Linked DNA regions of Saccharomyces cerevisiae S288C. The gene in region 4 interacts genetically with the main gene of each other region. Each region holds a gene or a part of one and is shown on either strand. Other genes may lie near its edges.

The links.
Region 1: of ILV2 (region 4) and ILV6, changing one suppresses a phenotype caused by changing the other (phenotypic suppression), as found in Saccharomyces cerevisiae (one study listed by BioGRID).
Region 2: of ILV2 (region 4) and GLN3, changing one enhances a phenotype caused by changing the other (phenotypic enhancement), as found in Saccharomyces cerevisiae (one study listed by BioGRID).
Region 3: of ILV2 (region 4) and BAT2, changing one enhances a phenotype caused by changing the other (phenotypic enhancement), as found in Saccharomyces cerevisiae (3 studies listed by BioGRID, with this or other methods).

Annotation. Positions count from the first base shown.
Region 1 is NC_001135.5:102,189-107,079, forward strand, and holds ILV6 (acetolactate synthase regulatory subunit), read right to left. Parts: upstream 3,361-4,891; coding exon 2,431-3,360; downstream 1-2,430. Other genes in the region: GBP2 (single-stranded telomeric DNA-binding/mRNA-binding protein), read right to left, coding at 1-1,170; SGF29 (Sgf29p), read right to left, coding at 1,383-2,162; ubiquitin-binding ESCRT-I subunit protein STP22, read right to left, coding at 3,508-4,665; VMA9 (H(+)-transporting V0 sector ATPase subunit e), read left to right, coding at 4,835-4,845. UniProt on the Saccharomyces cerevisiae protein: Regulatory subunit of mitochondrial acetolactate synthase, which catalyzes the first of a series of common steps in the biosynthesis of the branched-chain amino acids.
Region 2 is NC_001137.3:228,217-234,417, reverse strand, and holds GLN3 (nitrogen-responsive transcriptional regulator GLN3), read right to left. Parts: upstream 4,624-6,201; coding exon 2,431-4,623; downstream 1-2,430. Other genes in the region: YEN1 (crossover junction endodeoxyribonuclease), read right to left, coding at 1-1,957; YER039C-A (uncharacterized protein), read left to right, coding at 4,937-5,155; HVG1 (putative GDP-mannose transporter), read left to right, coding at 5,213-5,962; FMP49 (Fmp49p), read right to left, coding at 5,587-5,967; Smc5-Smc6 complex subunit KRE29, read left to right, coding at 6,166-6,201. UniProt on the Saccharomyces cerevisiae protein: Positive nitrogen regulatory protein. Required for the activation of transcription of a number of genes (including the allantoin pathway genes) in response to the replacement of glutamine by glutamate as source of nitrogen.
Region 3 is NC_001142.9:703,134-708,322, forward strand, and holds BAT2 (branched-chain-amino-acid transaminase BAT2), read left to right. Parts: upstream 1-2,610; coding exon 2,611-3,741; downstream 3,742-5,189. Other genes in the region: YJR146W (uncharacterized protein), read left to right, coding at 752-1,105; HMS2 (Hms2p), read left to right, coding at 1,063-2,139; YJR149W (putative nitronate monooxygenase), read left to right, coding at 4,027-5,189. UniProt on the Saccharomyces cerevisiae protein: Cytoplasmic isozyme of branched-chain-amino-acid aminotransferase, which catalyzes the first reaction in the catabolism of the essential branched chain amino acids (BCAAs) leucine, isoleucine, and valine.
Region 4 is NC_001145.3:482,329-486,647, reverse strand, and holds ILV2 (acetolactate synthase catalytic subunit), read right to left. Parts: upstream 2,565-4,319; coding exon 501-2,564; downstream 1-500. Other genes in the region: MYO5 (myosin 5), read right to left, coding at 1-61; SPG4 (Spg4p), read right to left, coding at 3,287-3,634. UniProt on the Saccharomyces cerevisiae protein: Catalytic subunit of mitochondrial acetolactate synthase, which catalyzes the first of a series of common steps in the biosynthesis of the branched-chain amino acids.

The DNA.
Region 1 (4,891 bases), on a different chromosome or scaffold from region 4:
ACCAGTTGGTTGACCATTTTCCTGTGGTTTCAATTCCGCGTTATTGATTTTGCCGATAGGCCCAAACAAGTCGAATAAATCGCTTCTTGCTGTTGAGAATGGTAAATTACTACAATAAATGAAACAGTTTCTATCCCCTCCTGGATTGACACCTTCAGTAAATTTTGCTGCAGTTTCATCAATGTGGACAGCGGCATCCTGCGCAAGACCTGGTTCAGTACCTCTGGTATCTTCAAGGTCCTCACGCCTTTGATTATAACGATCATTGTTCTTTCTCTTGTTGAAACGCCCTTCTCTAACTTCCAAAACTCTACCTTCTACTTCCATGCCGTTGAATGTATCGATAGCTCTAATCATTTCATCCTCAGTAGGATAAATGACAGAACCGAATCCTCTTGAAAATCCGTTGAAATCCAATTCTACATCGGCACGCAAGACATGACCACATTCTTTAAACATATCTTTTAAGGATTGCCAATTCATAGAGTACGGTAAATTGATGATGAACACTTCAAACCCATTATCTATTTCTTCCCTAGTAGCTTTCTTAGAAAATTCCTTGGCAGCTTCAGGAGGAGGATTATCCTGTCTTACCATTAGTTTCCGGTCCATAAAGAGGGCACCATCAAACTTCGATATGGCATCTTGGACAGATTCGTTTTTGGTAAATTCCACAGTCCCCATACCACGGTGATGGCCCTTTGATGTGATAATGTCAGCCTCCACAACTTCGCCCACTGTACCAAACAATTCCTTAAGGTCTTCAGGGGTACAATCAAAAGTCAAGTTTCTCACGAAGATACTATTTTCAAAATTTCTCTTGGTCGCGTCAAATTGCCTTTCTAAGTCTCTTTCAACAATTGGACCTAAAGTACGACCCCTACCGCCACCGCGTCCCCCTCTGAATGATCTGCTTCCTCCTCTGCCACGGCCTCCTCGGCGAGGGGGCCAGTTCCTATCATCGTGGTAGCGGCTGCCACCATAACTCTGATCGTACCGATCATTGAAACGGGAGCCTCGGTCGCGTCTCTGACGACGACTGCCATTACCATTATTACTGCTACTATCGTTATAATCATCGTACCTGTCTCTGTCGTCGCTCAAACGACGACGTACAGGTGATCTTGATCTACTCCTATCATTTCCATACATCCCTAGCTCTCTCTCCATCTTGGCGAAAAAATCCAGCTGATGTTTGTTTCCTTTTCGCCCATAGCTTATTTCTAATGGGAAATCCTCAATATAATTGATTTCATCCAAGCTTTCATTTTTTTTCAATTTTTTTCACCTTCAAGTGAATACATCACTTCCGACGATACCAAAATAATGACAAAATGCCATGAGAAGATCTTATGATATGTAGTAAATGTTAACCACCATTGCTATTTCCTTGCTAGGTTTGCCAAAGCCGTTGGCGAAGGCAGCACTAGACGGCGAGTCACTTCCGTCTCTTTGTCCACTTCCTCTTCACCATCAAATCGAAGCCTGCAAGTGCCGTCCCTCTTGGTTCCGATGACAATTGCAGGATAAAAAGTGGTCGTTTCAGGATATCTTGCCAGAACCTTAGTACCTGGCGGGTAGTTCTTAGTGGGAAAGCCTGGCGGGATCAACAGTAGTTCTTTCCGATTACATTTATACACCTTGCCTGAGTTGCCCAATTCATCAGGTTCAGGATCTCTCACTTCAAATCGTGTACCATCTGCTACGACTTTGAGTACTTCACACTGTATCCATTCGCCGTCGGCACTGCCCCTTCTGGGCTTATAGGCAACCTCTGAGCCCACCAAAATAGGTGCATTTGGGTTGTATTCGCTGGTCCAGTACGATCTGCCAACTTTCCCCACAGCTTTCTTGCCCTGCGACAATGCCATGCGTGTCCCTTCTCCTTCTTCTGCATCTTCAGTATTTTCCTCACTCTTTTCCTCTCGTGACTGATTCAACATCAACGACAAATTGGAACGTACATTGTCAAGGATTCGGTGCACTCTGTTGACGTTTTCCATGTGTTCTTGGAAAGTGTTGAGATGCAATTGCAGCTGATCCTTTGACATATTAAGGAAATTTAGTTTTTTTGTTTGCAGCTCATCATCAAAGGGAATGACCTCGTTGGCATTGTATATGTCTTGCAAGGACGACACTACAACATCCCAATATCCGTCCATAATAAGAAAGGTGACCGTGTGTTTTGCTGTGAAAAACTCCCCCCACTTAGAGAAGCCACCAAGGTATTGTGTCTTTAACCTTTTTCGTATCTGGCAAAATCGAAGAGGAAAGCAGAAAACCAAAAGAAAAAAATAGTTTAGTAACGCGTCACCTCGTACAAACGTACAATCATAGCAACTTATGAGTAAATAGGCTCATGGTTATAGATACGTTATATAGATGTATAGAGGAGAGTCCCGAGGGCGATCGCAAGGCCGAGAGACTAACCTAACCAGGTGGTAGTTGGGAAATGTCGACGATTTCGCTGATCTTTTCGTCTTCGTCGGCAGCTTCCTCGGTGCTTGTCTTCAAAGGAGTTCTTGGCAATGCCATCATACCGCTTCTTGCACACTCTAGGACACCGAATGGCTCGACCAACTTCAAGAAGGCAGAGATACGTGTGGGTTTTGCAGACAACTCCACAATACAGCTTGTTTCGCTGATGTCGACGACACGACCTCCAAAGTTGTTGGTCAAGTTGGTGATATCGTTCAAATGCTCGTGCTTCAACCTTAATACCTCACTGGCGGGCAAGTTGGCAGGGTGGAATTGCTTTTCTCTGATTTCGGCGACCAATTCTTGGGAGTCAGCGGCGCCAGCATTGGTGGAAGTGTGGTGGTGCAATAGTAGGTCTTCGAAGTATTCAGTACCCAATAGAGAGATTCTGGCCATCACTAGCTCTCTTTTGATGATCTCAGAATTGGTATAGTCTAGGACGGCGTAGACGGGGACCAAGTCTTCGATTTGTCTGCGTGCTTGTTCGACTACGCCATCTTGCCCTTGCAAAACAATGGTCATTCTACTTAGGTCTTTGACCTCGGTGTTGCACACGACCAACGAATCGATGTTAAAGCCTCTGGCAGCTAACGTACCCGAGACTCTGGACAAGACACCGGGTTCGTTTTGCACCAAACAGTTCAAGACATGCTGTTTTCTTGGTTGACGAGAAGGCGCTGGTGTTTCGTAAATGATGGATGAAACGGCACTGTTGGCATTCCAGGAAGGAGTGTCTAGTGTGGGCAAGGGAGGTCTTGTTGCGTGTCTGTGCATCTGCTTGTACGCCAACGCGGAGGTCGACGAGGAACTGCAACGCACCATGGTAGCACATGAAGAAGCAACCACCCTGCGGTGGCCGCTTTGCAATAACGATCTCAGCATTAGAAAGACTGGGTTAGTGAGCTCAGATGTTCTAAAGATTCTGTATATACGAACTATGTACTTCCATATATACCATTCCCCGTTCTTGTTAGGTAAAGGTTAAAAAAATATTTTTTATGGCACTTCGGCGATGCGAAAGAAAGTGAGTCACGATAACGGTGAGGTGATTCGTTGGATGTGCCATCGCACAAGGAATTGCTGGCGTGCTAATTCACGACCTTGCTTGACAAAAGTATCGAGGGGAATGGTGCCACGGTGCAGCATCCTAGATAAGCACTCAATGGTGTCCGTGAGAGCGTAGTCCTGGGCAACGAGGTTGTATAGTTGATTGAGTCCATCTGTTTTGGCCACTGCTATGGAGTTCACGTCCTCGTCATCCACATGCGAAGTTGAGCTAAACTGTTGGACTTTGGCCCTATTTGCGGTCAGGACGTCTATCTGTGCGTTTAGCGAGTGCATGGTCTGCTCAATAGCCTGCTCAACGGCTCGTAAATGGTTCTTGTCGATGGCGATTATTTCATGGAATCTGGCAATTGATTCTTGCATGACGGTCTGTCTCGTCAGTATCTTGTCCGCTACATAGTCCACATCCTCTCTGTATAACTCATTGACTACGGTTTGTAGATTTTGTAGCATTTCATGATGGTTGGTTGGGGAGATATCCGTGTTGTCCATGTCCATAAGGTCGAGTGCGTTAGATGCCGGTTGAGGTGGTGGAGGTGGAGGCAATGGCGGTTTTAGGTGTGGAGACTTGGGCTTTGGGGGCAGTGGGGGAGTATTCTGCTCCTGCTGGAGCTGCGTATTGGGCTTAGGGGGTAGACTGGGCGCCTGATCTTGTGGCGGCTCGTGTAAGAGACTCATTAATTCTTGTACGACCATTATAAGGTTCATCGCGGCAGGATCCCAGCAGTGGAGTATGGGCAGCGCAATCCACCCATTGGAGTCGATGTATTCTTGAATGGGCAAGGAACTACTGATGGTGTTCATGTCGAAATTTTCCAAGTTTATACTTATAAAGGGAGGTTTTACCGGGTACATACTGGGTACCCACATGATCACAGGAATACTGTGAGGAGATGAACCATCCTCACCAGTACTAATGGTACCATATATGGACAACAGTAGTTGTGGAGTGCCGTCAGAGTGCGTAAATACCCTTGTTCTTGGCCTTAAACTGTGAAAATTGTCCAGCAGCGCTAAAGAATCGTGGAAAGTTGTTCTTCCGTCGTTATAAATGGGTTGAATGACTTTGAACAGCCAATTGACCACCGCCTCGGGAACAGAGATCTTGCCGTTTGCAGACATCGTTGCTCTTCACTCTCTCTCTTTTCTTGGCCGTTAAGATACCAACTGCCCACAAAATTTTGCCGTAACTTTTTATTCTCGCTCTGTGAAAAAAGACTACTACATTTTTTGACCTTTTATCTATACTTTAAGAAACAAAGGTCCAACGAATAATAAAGAACAAAGAGTAATGAGTAGTTTGTATGTGTCATAATCTCTTCTCTCCGCTTCCCTTTTCTTCCTTCTT
Region 2 (6,201 bases), on a different chromosome or scaffold from region 4:
CTAAAACGCTTTGGCTGTTTGTAATCTCATCTACAAAAATCAACGAATCATCGTCATTATCGCTGTGTTCATCGACGGTGGTCAGTCTTGTGGGAGCCGGTATTTCTTCCAGACTAGTATCTTCGTCTGTATCTACAAAAAGCCTTTTTCTCACAGGTTCCAGGATTTCCTTTCTCGACTCGCCTACCTTTCCGATACTTTTAATCGGCGAAGTATGCTTTCTTAAAAACTCATCCAAGTTATTCTTCTGTGGTAGCCGAGACTTATTCGATTTTTTACCTTTCTTCTCTTTTTCTTTCTGTATAAGTTGCTGTGTCTCATAATATTGAATTACTAATGGATGCGATTGAGGTATCAAGTATTTGGGTAACCAAAGACTATTTGGGTGTTCCATTATATCCATCTGACGTCGTGTGGGACTCTTGCTTCTACTGGGAGAATTACTGCGCTTCAAAGGAGATTGAGAAGAAATGGGTATATTAGGCAAGAATGTTGTATACCGTATTTTAAAACATGGTATTTGGAACTTTCCACCATCTATGTTCATAATTTTTTCTTCGGTAATCCTCATATTACCTTTACCTATATTATCGGACTCATCAATTGATAAAAATTCTCTTAATAGAAACATCTCGTGCATAGAATCATGAAACCACTTGTCGAAGCTAGAAATTTGAGGCAAATTCAAACTTTGTAAAAAATATTTCAGTTCATTGAAATTTAAGTTTCTGTAGTGTCCGTTTCCAGCCATATTTATGTATTTATCACTGAGAACTTCTTCATCAAAATATGGTTGGACAATGGGGTGAAAATAGTGCATGATTGCGACAGTTGATGGCCAGCCTTCAAATGAACCTTGATTCAATAAAACAGGATAATTTCTTCCAAATAGCTCGACAGAATGATCCTTGCAGTATAAATATAATCTTTTTTGAAACAATCTATACCGAGACTTCCTCAGACTTTCTGATGTCAAATCTTCTAAATTGAAATCTTTGAAAATGTCATAAAATTCCATGGAAAAGTTAGGATCTTCGCATTGAGCCAACTGCAAAGATTTGTTTTTACCCAAACCCTTGACTCCACGATTGTAATCGGCACCTAATAGCACGCTGAAAAATAAGAGAGACAGGCGATCAAACTTCTTCCCTGCTACTTTATTAATTTTGGGTAGATCTATAACAGTAACAAAAGATTCTTTACTATCATGATGTCTACTGGGACTGTGGGAAGTTATTGAACTTGGGCCAAAATCATCGTAGAATTTCGAGTAATTTTTCAGGATTTTTTCTCCCCCAAATACGAGAGTATCTGAATCGTTACTTAAAATGAAATCTACAGCCCCAGAAACTTGCAGCCAAACACACTGGGCTTCTCCCTCCCCACATGCGATTACATATGAAATGTTCATCAAGTCTAATAATTTCCGTACAAGACTGATGAACTCAGGGTCAGATGGCGCTAGCAATCCTTTACAATTGCCATAAACTTCATGATTCTTAACATGCTGTTCCCAGCTTGAATAGTACTCTTTCTCATCATCACAAGTAGTAGCGTTCTGTTCGTGGTTAAATTTCCTTTTGAAAGAGGGTTTCATAACTCCGTCAAATACAAGCAAGAATTCGACGTTTAAACTCAGTAGTTCTTTTAATCGAGATATGAAGTTTATCACAGCTTTTCCTGTAGTTGTATAACTTCTGCTACCATAATATTCTTGACTACTGTCGATATCACTATCACGCGGAGAACGGGTAGGACTCCTTGATCTTGATCTAGATCTGGCGCTTATATCTATATTTTGGATAAATCCACACTCAAATAGCCATCCATATGCGTCAATCGCGATTCTTGGAGCTCTTTTTTGCGATTTATTAAAGTCTATGACAAACTTTCTCAACGGAATTCTGGAATCTTGCAGATATGGCTTCAAAAATTCCCATATTTGTGAGACACCCATTTTCTTGTGCAGTATCCAGAATATACAAGTAGGTAAAATGCAATAGAACTGTCATTTCATTGGATGGACCATATACATTATTGTTTATGTGTCAGTCAAAAGCTAGTTAAATTATTCAACTGTGGGCATTATAAGAAAAAGAAAATGCCATTAAAAAAGGGCCGTTTAAAAAAAAAAAAGAAAGAGATAGACAAAAGAAACAGGGGAGATAGAGAAAGAATACCAAATAATAATTAGAGTGATATTACAAATTCCTAATAATATATGTCTACACATAAAAGTAATACAAATAGAACAGCCAGTGTTCAATGCCAATATACTACCATTTCTTTTTTTACAAGTAATTTGATCTGAAAATAGCAAAACAAATAATACCAATGCTCAGGATTGTGGTCAGAGGTAATGAAAATCTATCAATGCAACCGTTCAGTAATTATTAACATAATAAGAATAATGATAATGATAATACGCGGTCATATACCAAATTTTAACCAATCCAATTCGTCAGCAATTGCTGAACTTTCTTTAGAAGATCCTTTTGTGGAATTATCCTCACTGATCTTTCCGCCTGCACTCACATCTGCTTCATATTTTATAGGTGAAGTAGAGTCACTTGATAATCTATTGTTAAATTTGTGATTTGAGATAAACGAATTCGACTCCGAGTTCTGCAATTGTTGTGATAACAATGAGGTATGTGATTTTCTTGAAGAAGGTCTTGAGACACTCGGTGAATCTACAGGAGTATTAAAAATATCAAAATTTGGCTTTTGAGAGACAAAATTTGATGATCTTGAATTTGTTGAAACGCTATTGCTTGAATTCCAATTCTGTCTATTCGAATTCGTGTTTGTGTTGGAATTCACGTCCACTTGTTGCTGTTCGTGCAGTTGTTGCAAAGACGCAGCCATAAACGATGAGGAGTACGATGCATTGCGCGACATCTTTCTTCTTGGTATATTCATTCCTTGACGTTGGAAAGAATTTGATAATAGATTCTGCTGTAGAGGACTATTTGAGTTAAAGTTTGCGGACGATATAATTCTTGGTGAGGATGCGACACTATTTCCTGCACTTACATTATTTGTTGTGTTCATTAGGTTCATGTTCATGTTGAACTGCTGTGAATTAGCGCTATTAGGTGAAGGTTTTGGTAATATCGGAACAACAGATCTGGATGAAGATTTACTGGAACTTGAGGTGTTCGATGAAGTACTACTTCGTCTTGAAGACCTTCTAAAATTAGGAGTAACAGTGTTCGAATTGTGACGCATTAAGTTATTAGAATTCAAATTTGCATTGCTTGCTCCATTAAAATTTGCGTTACTACTATTATACGATTGGCTGTTCATGAGGACCGGGGAGGGGACTGAGTTGAAGTTATAGCCTCCCCTATTTACATTAAGGATATTATTAGTATTACCGATGTTGTCTCTAATGATTTCTTCAGGTATCACTCTAGATAAAGAGTTTTGTTGTAGTGATTTTTTCCTCGATCGTATGGGTTTAGCATTTGTAGTGGTTACTGAAGTTGAGGCAGTTGCAGGTGCACTTGGAGTATTTTGTGCAATGTTTGGGTCCGTTTGTTTGGCTCTCTTCTTTGAAATCCTCTTTTTGATAACGTCCGATTTTAAGGATAATGGCCTCATGGTACCATGTAATTTCTGGAAAAGACCGCAGGCATTGCAAAGAGTATTCCCCTCTGGGCTTCTCCTCCAAAGCGGTGTCTTGAAAGTTTTACAATTGAAACATTGTATCAGAGGTTTTTTATTTTGTCCTGATGGTTCCATATTGGATATACTGGAAGATACTGAGGCAGCTCTTTTGAAATTGGCCAGGGACGTGGACGACATTGGCTTGATAAGTGAGTTTTTTCTTACAGAATTTGTTGTGTTGGATGAAGATAATCCTATCGAATCGCTCTTCTTCAGAAAAGGATGCTGGATATTACTATTGTTGCTATTATTATTATTGGTAATGTTCATAGCGGATGAAGATGAGTTGTTGTTTTGTAGTTTGTAGATGTTGAAGGAATGGTGGGACTGCGCATTAGTATTTGAGTTGTTATTGATAGATGGCTGGTTGATGTTGCTGTTGGACGTGCTGGAATTATACGGGAACAGTGAGGATTTGGAGACGCTGTTGCCGAGGGAACCGTGGTTGTATTGCGGTATGTCGGAAGTAAAGCTGTTAGGAGCACTAATAGTAGCTGAACCGCTCGAGTTGCTGGGCGTCATGTTGAATTGGTCCACGTTAAAGTCCCAAAGTTGTGCAATTTCACCATTTTGTTGGTTGGATGCGGCTATGTCGATGGGCTGAGTTGTGGCAAGTGAATCAAACATCGCAATATCATCATCCATATGATTGGTAGCTGGTGTGGTGTCCTTGACCGTCTTAGTAGTCACGCTGGTCGTGGCAGCTGCTGTAAAAGGAGACACGAAGTCCGTAAAATATAAATCATCGGGCAGTGCCTCCAGCATTGAGTCGAATGTGCCGCCGTTTAATCCACTGGCAAATGCTATATCCTCCTCGTTTTCACCGGTGTTGCCACTACTCTGGCTCCTACTGTCACCAGTTTGTCTCGGCTCTTCATTACTTCGACCATGCACGTCCAGATGACTATTCAGCAGGTCGTACAGCTTCGAATTTTCGGGGTCGTCTTGCATTTGTTTGTTGGTGGGGGAAAAGGGGGCCCTGTGCTCTCTCTCGTCTCTCTTTCTTACACACTCTGTTATTGTGGGATGGGCTACTGCGCTGACATTAGCTTACCACTCTTGAACATCTTTCTCTGTCTTGCAAGATGACTCTTTCCACTCTCTCAGCATTGCCATGTCACTTTCTTTCGGGAACCTGTCCGCCGGGTAATAGAGCAAAAAATGTGAATATATCATATTAAGAATGTTTAAAGGGCCAGGTAGAGATAGAGTACAAGAATGGAAGGTTGAAAAGCTGTAAAGAGATCAAGAAGGTGTGGTAATTATGAGCAAGCATAAGCATGAATGGACGGAATCAGTGGCCAACTCTGGGCCGGCTTCAATCTTATCTTACTGCGCGTCCTCGATTTTGATGACAGTAACGAACAAATTCGTGGTTAACCTGGACAACTTTAACATGAACTTTGTGATGTTGTTTGTACAATCACTGGTGTGCACTGTGACGCTATGTATCCTACGAATTGTAGGCGTTGCTAATTTTTGATCTTTGAACAGGACAGATGTAAAAAACTGGTTTCCAATTTCTTTGCTGCTCGTATTGATGATTTATACGTCGTCAAAGAGCTTACAATACCTTGCCGTGCCCATCTACACAATTTTCAAGAATCTGACGATCATTCTCATTGCTTATGGCGAGGTCCTCTTCTTTGGCGGAAAAGTCACTTCTATGGAGTTGACGTCATTTATTATGATGGTCCTTTCATCTGTAGTGGCCACCTGGGGCGATCAGCAGGCCATTGCAATCAAAGCATCATCTTTGGAGGATCTCGATCAGGAACTTGTTGAGTCAACCATCTTTGTGTTGAATCCGGGGTACCTCTGGATGTTCACCAATTGTATTTCGTCTGCATTGTTCGTTTTGATTATGCGGAAGAGAATTCGGCTGACTAACTTTAAAGACTATGATACTATGTTTTATAACAACGTTCTGGCATTGCCTTTGCTGCTAGTCTTTTCCTTCATTATGGAAGATTGGTCCACAAAGAATTTGTCTGTGAACTTGTCCGCCGACTCACTGGCAGCAATGGTCATCAGTGGGCTCATGTCCGTGGGGATATCGTACTGTTCCGGCTGGTGTGTTCGTGTAACTTCCTCTACAACGTATTCTATGGTTGGTGCTTTGAACAAATTGCCCATAGCGTTGGCGGGATTGGTGTTCTTTGACGCTCCAAAAAACTTTTTGTCCTTCTTTTCTATCTTTCTAGGATTTCTGTCTGGCCTGCTGTACGCTGTGGCTAAACAGAAAAAGATACAACAGCAAAAAGTTCTAGCAGCTACTCTTGAGAAGTAGTACATTCTTCATTTGCTCAAGCAAAATATACATTTATATTCATTTATATGGGGTCTTCTTTGTATTTGTTTTAGGTTATTCCTTTTTTTATGTTACATATTATGTCAGCATCGTTTTATGAAATATATTCATATATAATTTTTCAAGTAAATAGCAATAAAGTGATAAAATTTTGTTAGACGCACAAAAGGGCAGTGTCACAAATGGGAAGCGTGAACTCATCACCGAATGAAGAGTTT
Region 3 (5,189 bases), on a different chromosome or scaffold from region 4:
ACTAGATTAAATTATAGTATAATTTTTAATATACTAGTATTGCCGACAATCTCTGAAATTTCAATACTACCACACAGAACAGGACTTGCCAGGGCCAGTCCGAGCCAGCCTAACTCCAAGACCACGTACTAAGTGAATTGCTACTCCCCCTTACCACGACTACAAAGAGCTACACGGCCTCCCGGCCTAGGCCGCTGCTACTTTCAACTGATGTCACCGAAAAAAATAACGGAAAACGACAGTTCAAGAAAAAAAGAACGCAGGAAGAAAAAGGAAGCAAAATTACAGAATGTACGGCTGTTTAAAAATAAATAGTGGATGCATGGGTGCTTCCACGCGTCTCTGGGAAAAAAAACCAGGATATTTTAATGTTTGTTTATTTGTTTATTTCCTGCTGAACTGAATATTGAAAACATCGAAAAAATGCAGTACCCAGCTCTCCATTAGGACTTTTTACGTAATGACGAAAATGGACAAGCTGCGCAGGAAAGGACTACGAAAAGTATGCTGCCATAATGACAAGATAAGGCGCAACACACGTAATCATGACTAATGGTTGCACAGACGGTAGGCCAGGAGAAGGATTAGATCTCGTGCCGAACGACAGCAAGCTAGCTAGACTATGTTATCTGAGTGTAAACGAAAGCGCAGCAGTCTCTGCAAGAGCACGTGCGACGTGTCTGGTGTGCAAAAACCCTCTAGAGAAACATTGCTAAGGTTTACCGATGCAGGAAATCTTTAGTTCTAAAAGATGAAAGTCGGAAAAGCCAAAAAGAAACCGGAAATCTTCTCTGCGCATTGTTCTGTGGCCACGGCCTTCCTGGACCCGTCCTTCTTTTACCCGAACTTTGTCGCCCAAAAGGCATCTCATTATAATGACAAAACTGGATCTGCAAATATTTGGACATATATCTCCAGAACGGGCTCACTTCTCCTCTTCACCCAGGTGGTATATAGGAAGAGTAAGTGGACGCATCAGTCCGCGACATTTGCGGACTGTATATATTGCCAGTCAGGGCAGTCGCCAAGTGTGTCTCTTTCGTGTAGCGACGCACGTCAGACATGGATGCAACATCGAGGATGGAGCAGCCTGATGTCTTTGTAAGCAAACTCTACCACCTGCTGCAGGGGAACGCTTACTCGAACATAATACAATGGTCGACTGATGGCAGCAAGCTCGTCATTTGGAATCCGGACCAGTTCACCAAAGTCATCCTAGAGCGATTTTTTGGTATTCACACCTTTGCAGCATTCGTTAAGCAATTGAGCAAATATAACTTCCAGAAGGCGGGCCGCCCGGACTGCGTGGAGTTTTCCAACATTCATTTTCAAAAAGATAACATTAATAGCCTCTCACTGGTTAAAGCTCATCAGTCTGCCGCCACTCCCAATGTCGCCGCCGTCAATAATATGAATAAGCAGTGTACTTTTCACTGGGACCCTTTCAAAGTGAACTCCATTCTAAGCAAGGCCATCGGCAAGCCTTCCTTCGAGAAATTAGTGAAAAATGTTGACAGGCTTCAGGGCAATCTTGATGAGCTTAAGTCGACAAACGCAGATAGTCTGCGTATTATAAGGGAAATTAACGCCAGCTTACAGACAATCTCCTACCACCAGTTTCACGCCTACCAAACCGCTAACTTCCTTCAAGAAAATTTTGAAGCCATCAAAAAGGTTGTATGCCCGGACTCTTGTCTACAACACCAGCAACGCCAACCAAAGCGCCCCAAACGCTACTCGTTGCTGTTACTAATACCAAACGCATCCGAATTGTCAGAAACACCTTTGATGCGCTTCGCCGGCGTGTTCGAATTTATGAACTGCTCTTTGGATACGGCCACTCAGTGGCACCCGCAGTTGCATCCCGAGGCATACGACCTTCTTTTCGTCACCGTGTCGCCCAACATGCAACAAGAACATCTCATCTACTTCAAGAGACTGAGAAACCTACTCCCAAGCTTTCCTGTAATAGCCATTATTAACAGACCCGTCTCCCCTCAAGATACCAGCATTGCTCCCTCCAACTACTCTCGCTATTATTTCCACCATTTTTTGCAGTTGGGGTTCAGTGACATCCTAGTTAGCCCCTTCACCCCAACACAACTTATAACGCTCCTTTCCAAACATCTTCGAACGTGAAAACCTGCCTCTGAGGGTCATTCACGACCTAGCATACCACTATATACGTGTACGATTTTTTTTTTCTGTGACCGCACTACACCAAAGTTTAATGTTCCATTGGCCCCGGAACCATTCTTGCAAACGGCGTTCTTTTTCCGCTTTCGGGTGACACTTAATTTAGCTTCTTTTCCCTCTCTGACACCTCTTGTTATCTAATCTGTAGATCCGACTCTTTTTCTTTTTGGTGTCGTTCTTCTATGTCCGTTTTTCTGTCAACAAAAACGGAAATAATAGGTAGAAATTAAGAGCCGTACGTGAGTGAGAGGAGATCCGAAATGAGCTGACAGTATAACTAATATAAGCTTACAAGATATTCGACTATTTCCTGGGAAAAAATTCATTCCTTTGAGAAATCCTTAATAAAAACAGACTAACTACTAAAATTTTAGAAATTTAAGGGAAAGCATCTCCACGAGTTTTAAGAACGATATGACCTTGGCACCCCTAGACGCCTCCAAAGTTAAGATAACTACCACACAACATGCATCTAAGCCAAAACCGAACAGTGAGTTAGTGTTTGGCAAGAGCTTCACGGACCACATGTTAACTGCGGAATGGACAGCTGAAAAAGGGTGGGGTACCCCAGAGATTAAACCTTATCAAAATCTGTCTTTAGACCCTTCCGCGGTGGTTTTCCATTATGCTTTTGAGCTATTCGAAGGGATGAAGGCTTACAGAACGGTGGACAACAAAATTACAATGTTTCGTCCAGATATGAATATGAAGCGCATGAATAAGTCTGCTCAGAGAATCTGTTTGCCAACGTTCGACCCAGAAGAGTTGATTACCCTAATTGGGAAACTGATCCAGCAAGATAAGTGCTTAGTTCCTGAAGGAAAAGGTTACTCTTTATATATCAGGCCTACATTAATCGGCACTACGGCCGGTTTAGGGGTTTCCACGCCTGATAGAGCCTTGCTATATGTCATTTGCTGCCCTGTGGGTCCTTATTACAAAACTGGATTTAAGGCGGTCAGACTGGAAGCCACTGATTATGCCACAAGAGCTTGGCCAGGAGGCTGTGGTGACAAGAAACTAGGTGCAAACTACGCCCCCTGCGTCCTGCCACAATTGCAAGCTGCTTCAAGGGGTTACCAACAAAATTTATGGCTATTTGGTCCAAATAACAACATTACTGAAGTCGGCACCATGAATGCTTTTTTCGTGTTTAAAGATAGTAAAACGGGCAAGAAGGAACTAGTTACTGCTCCACTAGACGGTACCATTTTGGAAGGTGTTACTAGGGATTCCATTTTAAATCTTGCTAAAGAAAGACTCGAACCAAGTGAATGGACCATTAGTGAACGCTACTTCACTATAGGCGAAGTTACTGAGAGATCCAAGAACGGTGAACTACTTGAAGCCTTTGGTTCTGGTACTGCTGCGATTGTTTCTCCCATTAAGGAAATCGGCTGGAAAGGCGAACAAATTAATATTCCGTTGTTGCCCGGCGAACAAACCGGTCCATTGGCCAAAGAAGTTGCACAATGGATTAATGGAATCCAATATGGCGAGACTGAGCATGGCAATTGGTCAAGGGTTGTTACTGATTTGAACTGAAGTATCGCTATTGCTACGTAAAGTAATTAAAAGTTAAAAAGAATAAAACTAGAGCGTTTTTTCTACTGAGTTAAGGGGTCATGTCAGAATATAACATACCCTTTGACATTGTATATATGAATTCCTGGATTTTGCAGTGATCTGATAAAAAATGTATGTCGAAACCTGCAATTATCCTTTCGTTTTTTTTCTTGTCATCTAGTGCTGGCCTATCGGTATCAAGGACATCTTTTGCGCGGATAGAAAAGGGCCCATACATACCTTAGAAGCAACTCAAGACAATTCATGTACTTTTTAAACCAACTAATATTTCAAGACGTTTCCGTAATGTCGGTGGATAAAAGAGAAGATATGAGCAGATCTTTCCAAAAATGTTTAAACTTGAGATACCCTATCATCCAGGCCCCTATGGCGGGGGTCACGACTATTGAAATGGCCGCTAAGGCTTGTATTGCGGGCGCCATAGCTTCACTACCCCTATCCCACTTAGACTTCAGAAAGGTCAATGATATTGAAAAGCTTAAACTGATGGTTTCACAATTCAGAGATCAAGTAGCCGATGAATCTTTAGAGGGCAATCTCAACCTAAACTTTTTTTGCCATGATATCGTTGATAAACCGACCGATCTTCAAACAGCTAACTGGGCGAAGCTATACAGAAAGTCTATGAATGTGCCGATTGATATGAATGAGATTAAATTCGATAATGGTAATGTATCTTTTAAGGCATTTGAAAAAGAAAATGCTCTTCAAGATTTTTTCCAGTACCTATCAGATGGCTTTAGGCCTAAAATCATTAGTTTCCATTTTGGCCATCCGTCGAAATCTACAATAGAATATTTACAAAAAATTGGAATTCTAATTTTTGTGACTGCCACCTCTGTAAGAGAAGTTCGATTGTTAGCACGTCTCGGCATTAATGGCATAGTGTGTCAAGGCTATGAAGCGGGAGGACATAGAGGAAATTTCTTAGTAAATGACCCCAAAGATGATGAAAACTTATCAACTGTACAATTGGTGAAAAGAACAGTTGATGAACTTGCTGAAATGAAAAATAAAGGTCTTATACATGCTACTCCCTTTGTCATTGCAGCAGGTGGTATAATGGATTCCAAAGATATATCATACATGTTATCACAGCAAGCAGACGCTGTTCAAGTGGGGACTGCTTTTCTTGGTTGCAGTGAATCCAATGCATCAAAAAACTTTTCAAGCCCCTTCACTCGAGAAACAACAACTAAAATGGTTAATATAATATCAGGAAAGCCTGCAAGGACCATCTCTACTCCTTTTATCGAAAAAGTCATTGCTAATTTTCAAGGTGAGGAGCTTCCTCCATATGGCTACATGTATAGTGCTTTCAAGCAAGTAAGAAAAAAGTATCCAGAATTGGCTAACTTTATTTTAGCTGGACAAGGATTTCAGAATGTCCAATCAGGAATCACAAC
Region 4 (4,319 bases):
CAGAGCGTTTAGCTGGCTCCTGATGTACCTTTTTTCTAGCTCCTCTTTTTAAGATAGCCATTTCTATAAAGCGGTTAAATTCGTATTGGCCACTGTTCTTATGCTTTATTATAAACTATAACCTTTAAATACATAGTCCAGTTTGTATTTTCCAAGCTTGCAATTTTTGACGGCCCCTTTTCGAGAAATATTTTTGATGATTGACAAAACGAGAAAGAAGTCGTGTCCGACGAGTTAAAACACACCATTTGAATACATATGCTACGTATCCACTTTAGATTTATCAAATACTACCAACTCACTTGAATTGAACTTATTATTCATCTATGACTTAATTTTAGCCGTCATTAGTTTTTTAGAAAAAAATATATAAAGTATATACGAAAAAAATATACATGACTACCGATTTGGTAGAATGTCATATATAAGAAGCACGATTAAATAATAATAAAGTCTGCATTTTTTACTGAAAATGCTTTTGAAATAAATGTTTTTGAAATTCAGTGCTTACCGCCTGTACGCTTATGACGTAATTCAGTCTGTTGTCTTTCAACTTCTGGGTCAAAATTTATGAACTCGTCTAGACCGCTACCACCTGCCACCATTGGCAAAACAGGAACTTTTTTATCAACTTCCACTTCAAGCAAAACTGGGCCCTTGGTAGAAACGAATTCTTTCAACTTAGCGTCCAATTCCTCTTGCTTCTTGACTCTTAAACCTTTTAAACCCATAGCCTCCGCTAGTTTTATGAAATCAGGGTTCAATTGATGTGTGTGGGAATAACGATGTTCGTAGAACAGGGATTGCCATTGAGTAACCATACCTTGCTCTTCATTGTTCAAAATCAAAATCTTCACTGGAGTACCAGCTTGAACGGCAGAACTCAATTCCGTTAGAGTCATGTTAAAGGATGCGTCACCATCAATGTCAATAACCAAAGATTCTGGCTTTGCAACTTGAGCACCGATGGCGGCAGGGAGACCGTAACCCATCGTACCTAAACCACCTGATGTGATGAAAGTATGTGGATTTCTCCATGTCCAGTGTTGAGCAGCCCACATTTGATGTTGCCCCACACCCGTTGTAACAATGACATGTCTTCCTGTGTCGTTGGCAACCTTGGATAGTTTCTTTATAACCGTCTGTGGTTTAATTTTAGATCCTGGAGTCTCCTCCATATAAGCGTATGGGTATTCCTTCTTCCATTTATTTATTTGAGCAAACCATTCAGACCTCTCCTTAACTGGGAAAATCTTTGACATCATTTTGCCCAGATTGGTCGTAGCATCACCTTCCACTGCTATTTGAGTTTGAACAACCTTGTTTATGTTTTTTGGACTAACCTCGAAATGAATAATACCACCTCTACCCTCGGCAGCTGCACGACGAGCTTCTGGAGCGAATTTAGAAATATTACCAGTGACACGGTCGTCGAATCTAGCACCAACTGCAATTATCAAGTCGGCATTTTGCACTGCCAGGTTGGCAGTAGCACAACCGTGCATACCAAGCATATCCAATGATTTTGGATCTTCTTGGTCGAATGAACCTAAACCTTGTAAAGTAGTGGTGACAGGTATTTGAGCACGGTCACTTAATTCTTTTAGTAATCTTGGACCATCTGCATGGTTTAAAATACCAGCACCGACGTATAAGACAGGTTTCTTTGCCAAGTTGATCAAATCTGCTGCTTTATTGATACTTTGCATGACAAATTCATCTTGTGCGCGACTGGTTAATTGGTTTAGTGCGTTTGATGGAAGAGTTGTTTTTGTTGGAATTGGATTTCTTAAGATAGCTGCTGTAACATCCTTTGGTAAATCGACCAAGACTGGTCCCGGTCTACCGCTCGTGGCAATTTCAAAAGCCTCGTTAATACGCAATGGCAATTCTTCCACGGACTTGACCATGACATTCCATTTCGTACAAGATCTAGAAATACCAACGACGTCAGCCTCTTGGAAAGCATCAGTACCGATAGCACTAGTTGGGACTTGCCCTGTAAAGACAACCATTGGAATCCCGTCTGCAAAGGCATCTGCCATTGGAGTAACGACATTGGTGGCACCTGGCCCAGAAGTAACCAAGACAACACCTGGTTTACCAGAAGCTCTGGCGTAGCCTTCTGCCATGTGACCGGCACCTTGTTCGTGTTTTGGAAGAACGAAGTTGAATTTATCACTGTTATGAATGGCATCGTAAACAGGTAGGATAGCACCACCTGGATAACCAAATACAGTATCAACGTTTTGTCTGGACATCATTTCGTTAAATATTTGACCACCAGTTAAACCGACGAAAGAGGTATCCATGTCAGGCTCAGCGCGTAGTTTCTTAGCCAATTTTGAAGGTTCAGCGGGCTGTTCTAATGGATCAACATTGAAACTTGGAGCAGGCTCTGGCCTTTTAGAGGCTGGTAATGGAGACGCACTGTAATAACGGGAAGACGAACTATAAAAGCGCTGCGCGAGAGCTACTGATCTCATGGCAGGTGTGTTGCGGTATGCTATATGTTGAAAGCAACGCTTAATAGCGAAGTTTTTTAGCGTAGATTGTCTGATCATTTGAAAATTGATTCTGTTGTATTTATCTCCTCTTAGCTCAAAGGGTTTAGATTTTGTAAAATACTTTCTATTGTAACAGGGAAAATGTGTGTAATTTCGCTTCAAATGAACTAGTAACTGTGGCTGATGAATTCTTCGGTTTTAGACAATGAAGGAAAAAAACAATACAAATTACGGTGTGACGTAGATCTGAATTATTAATTAGGGATGGTGGAGAAAGGATTAGAAATTTGGAAACTTGATAAGAAAATAAATGATAGCATATATATCAACCAGATAAGAGAAATACAAGTTCATCAAAAAAATATTCTTTTTCATTTTTTTTTTTTTTTTTTTTTTTCAGAGAAATGAATCATCGCTACCGAATAGATGGAAGATTAGAAAAAAAAAGAAAAAATACGAACCTTTTGGCGTGGGGCGCTGATTTTTCCGCGCCGAGATCAGCAACTGAAGCCAAGCCGGTACCGGCAGGCTCCGGCGGCTAGGCGTTTGTCACCTTTCATCCGTGCCGACTGACAGACAATGATACTAAAAGACAGTAATTATGGTATTAGTGGCAAAGTTCTGTTTACATAACTTCTTATTGCTTATATAGGTATGAAAAAAGACATAAGGATGCTATCATATAAAACTAATGGAAACACTGAAAAGCATAATAAATATATAATCATGTTAGAATAAATAGACAACACAAGAAAAGACACTATGAATATCTCCTCCATTTATCTATTTACTTTATTGTCGGGTTCCCCCCTCCTCAAACTTTCGTAAAGTCTTAAAAACTCACCTTGCGACATGTTAGAGATGTCAACATTCTTTGGTATTTCTACTTCTGCGGGTAATCTCCCTTCCTTAACGTCCTCAACATCGGAACTGTCCTGTGATCCTATGGAAGATCTTCTCATGCTCTGCAAGTTCTCTTGCTGATGTGTCCTAGGTTGACGGTACTCTTTCGAAAACATAACCTGCGTTTTACTGTCTCCTGTGTTGTTATGGTTTCCTCCATATACACTTGGATCTGCGTGCTTTTTCTTGTCGTATACTGCGAATGCGTCCCAAAAACTACCCATATTTGATATCTCGATTAGTTGGTTTTATTTATCTTGTTACAGAAGTGGCTACAAAAAAAAATTTTATGGAGTTGCAATAGGAAGGGAGGCTCCTATTTATATACTCACTACAAGATATGGGGGTGATTAGCCAAGCAAGATTGTTATCGCACATCATTACCCCACCCTGCTCCCTCTTATCTCCCTGATTCTGTCACCACTACTTCACATCTAGTACCTTAGAACCCAGTCATAAAAGCGCAAACTGACTGGTGTACTTTCCCGAAATATTGCTTAATTGTGCCTTGTGGAGGCTTTAGCAATTAAGGGAGGCGGCTGATGTCCATCAACCGCCCTGCCAGGAGCCAGATGGCGATGTATGGGGTTTTGGCAAAGCGCAGGGAAGTCACTCTTTTGCGTTGGGGTGACGCCGCCGTCCTCATGATGTGTTAGTTATACGTAAATCATGACTACCAGGCACATCAGTGGACGGCGCTAACACCCTTCATCATTTCTGCTCTGATAATTAAACGTGCCAGATGACTTTTTTTCAAATAGTGATGGATTCTTTTTACAGTTTATCTGGGCTTTATATAGGAGATTATTGCCATCCAGATAAAAATTGTAAGAATGATGATTATCTAAAGTTTAGGTTTTGTCAAAAGTTGGCGCTAAACTAGAAAATACAAAGGATTGAAACTTTGAT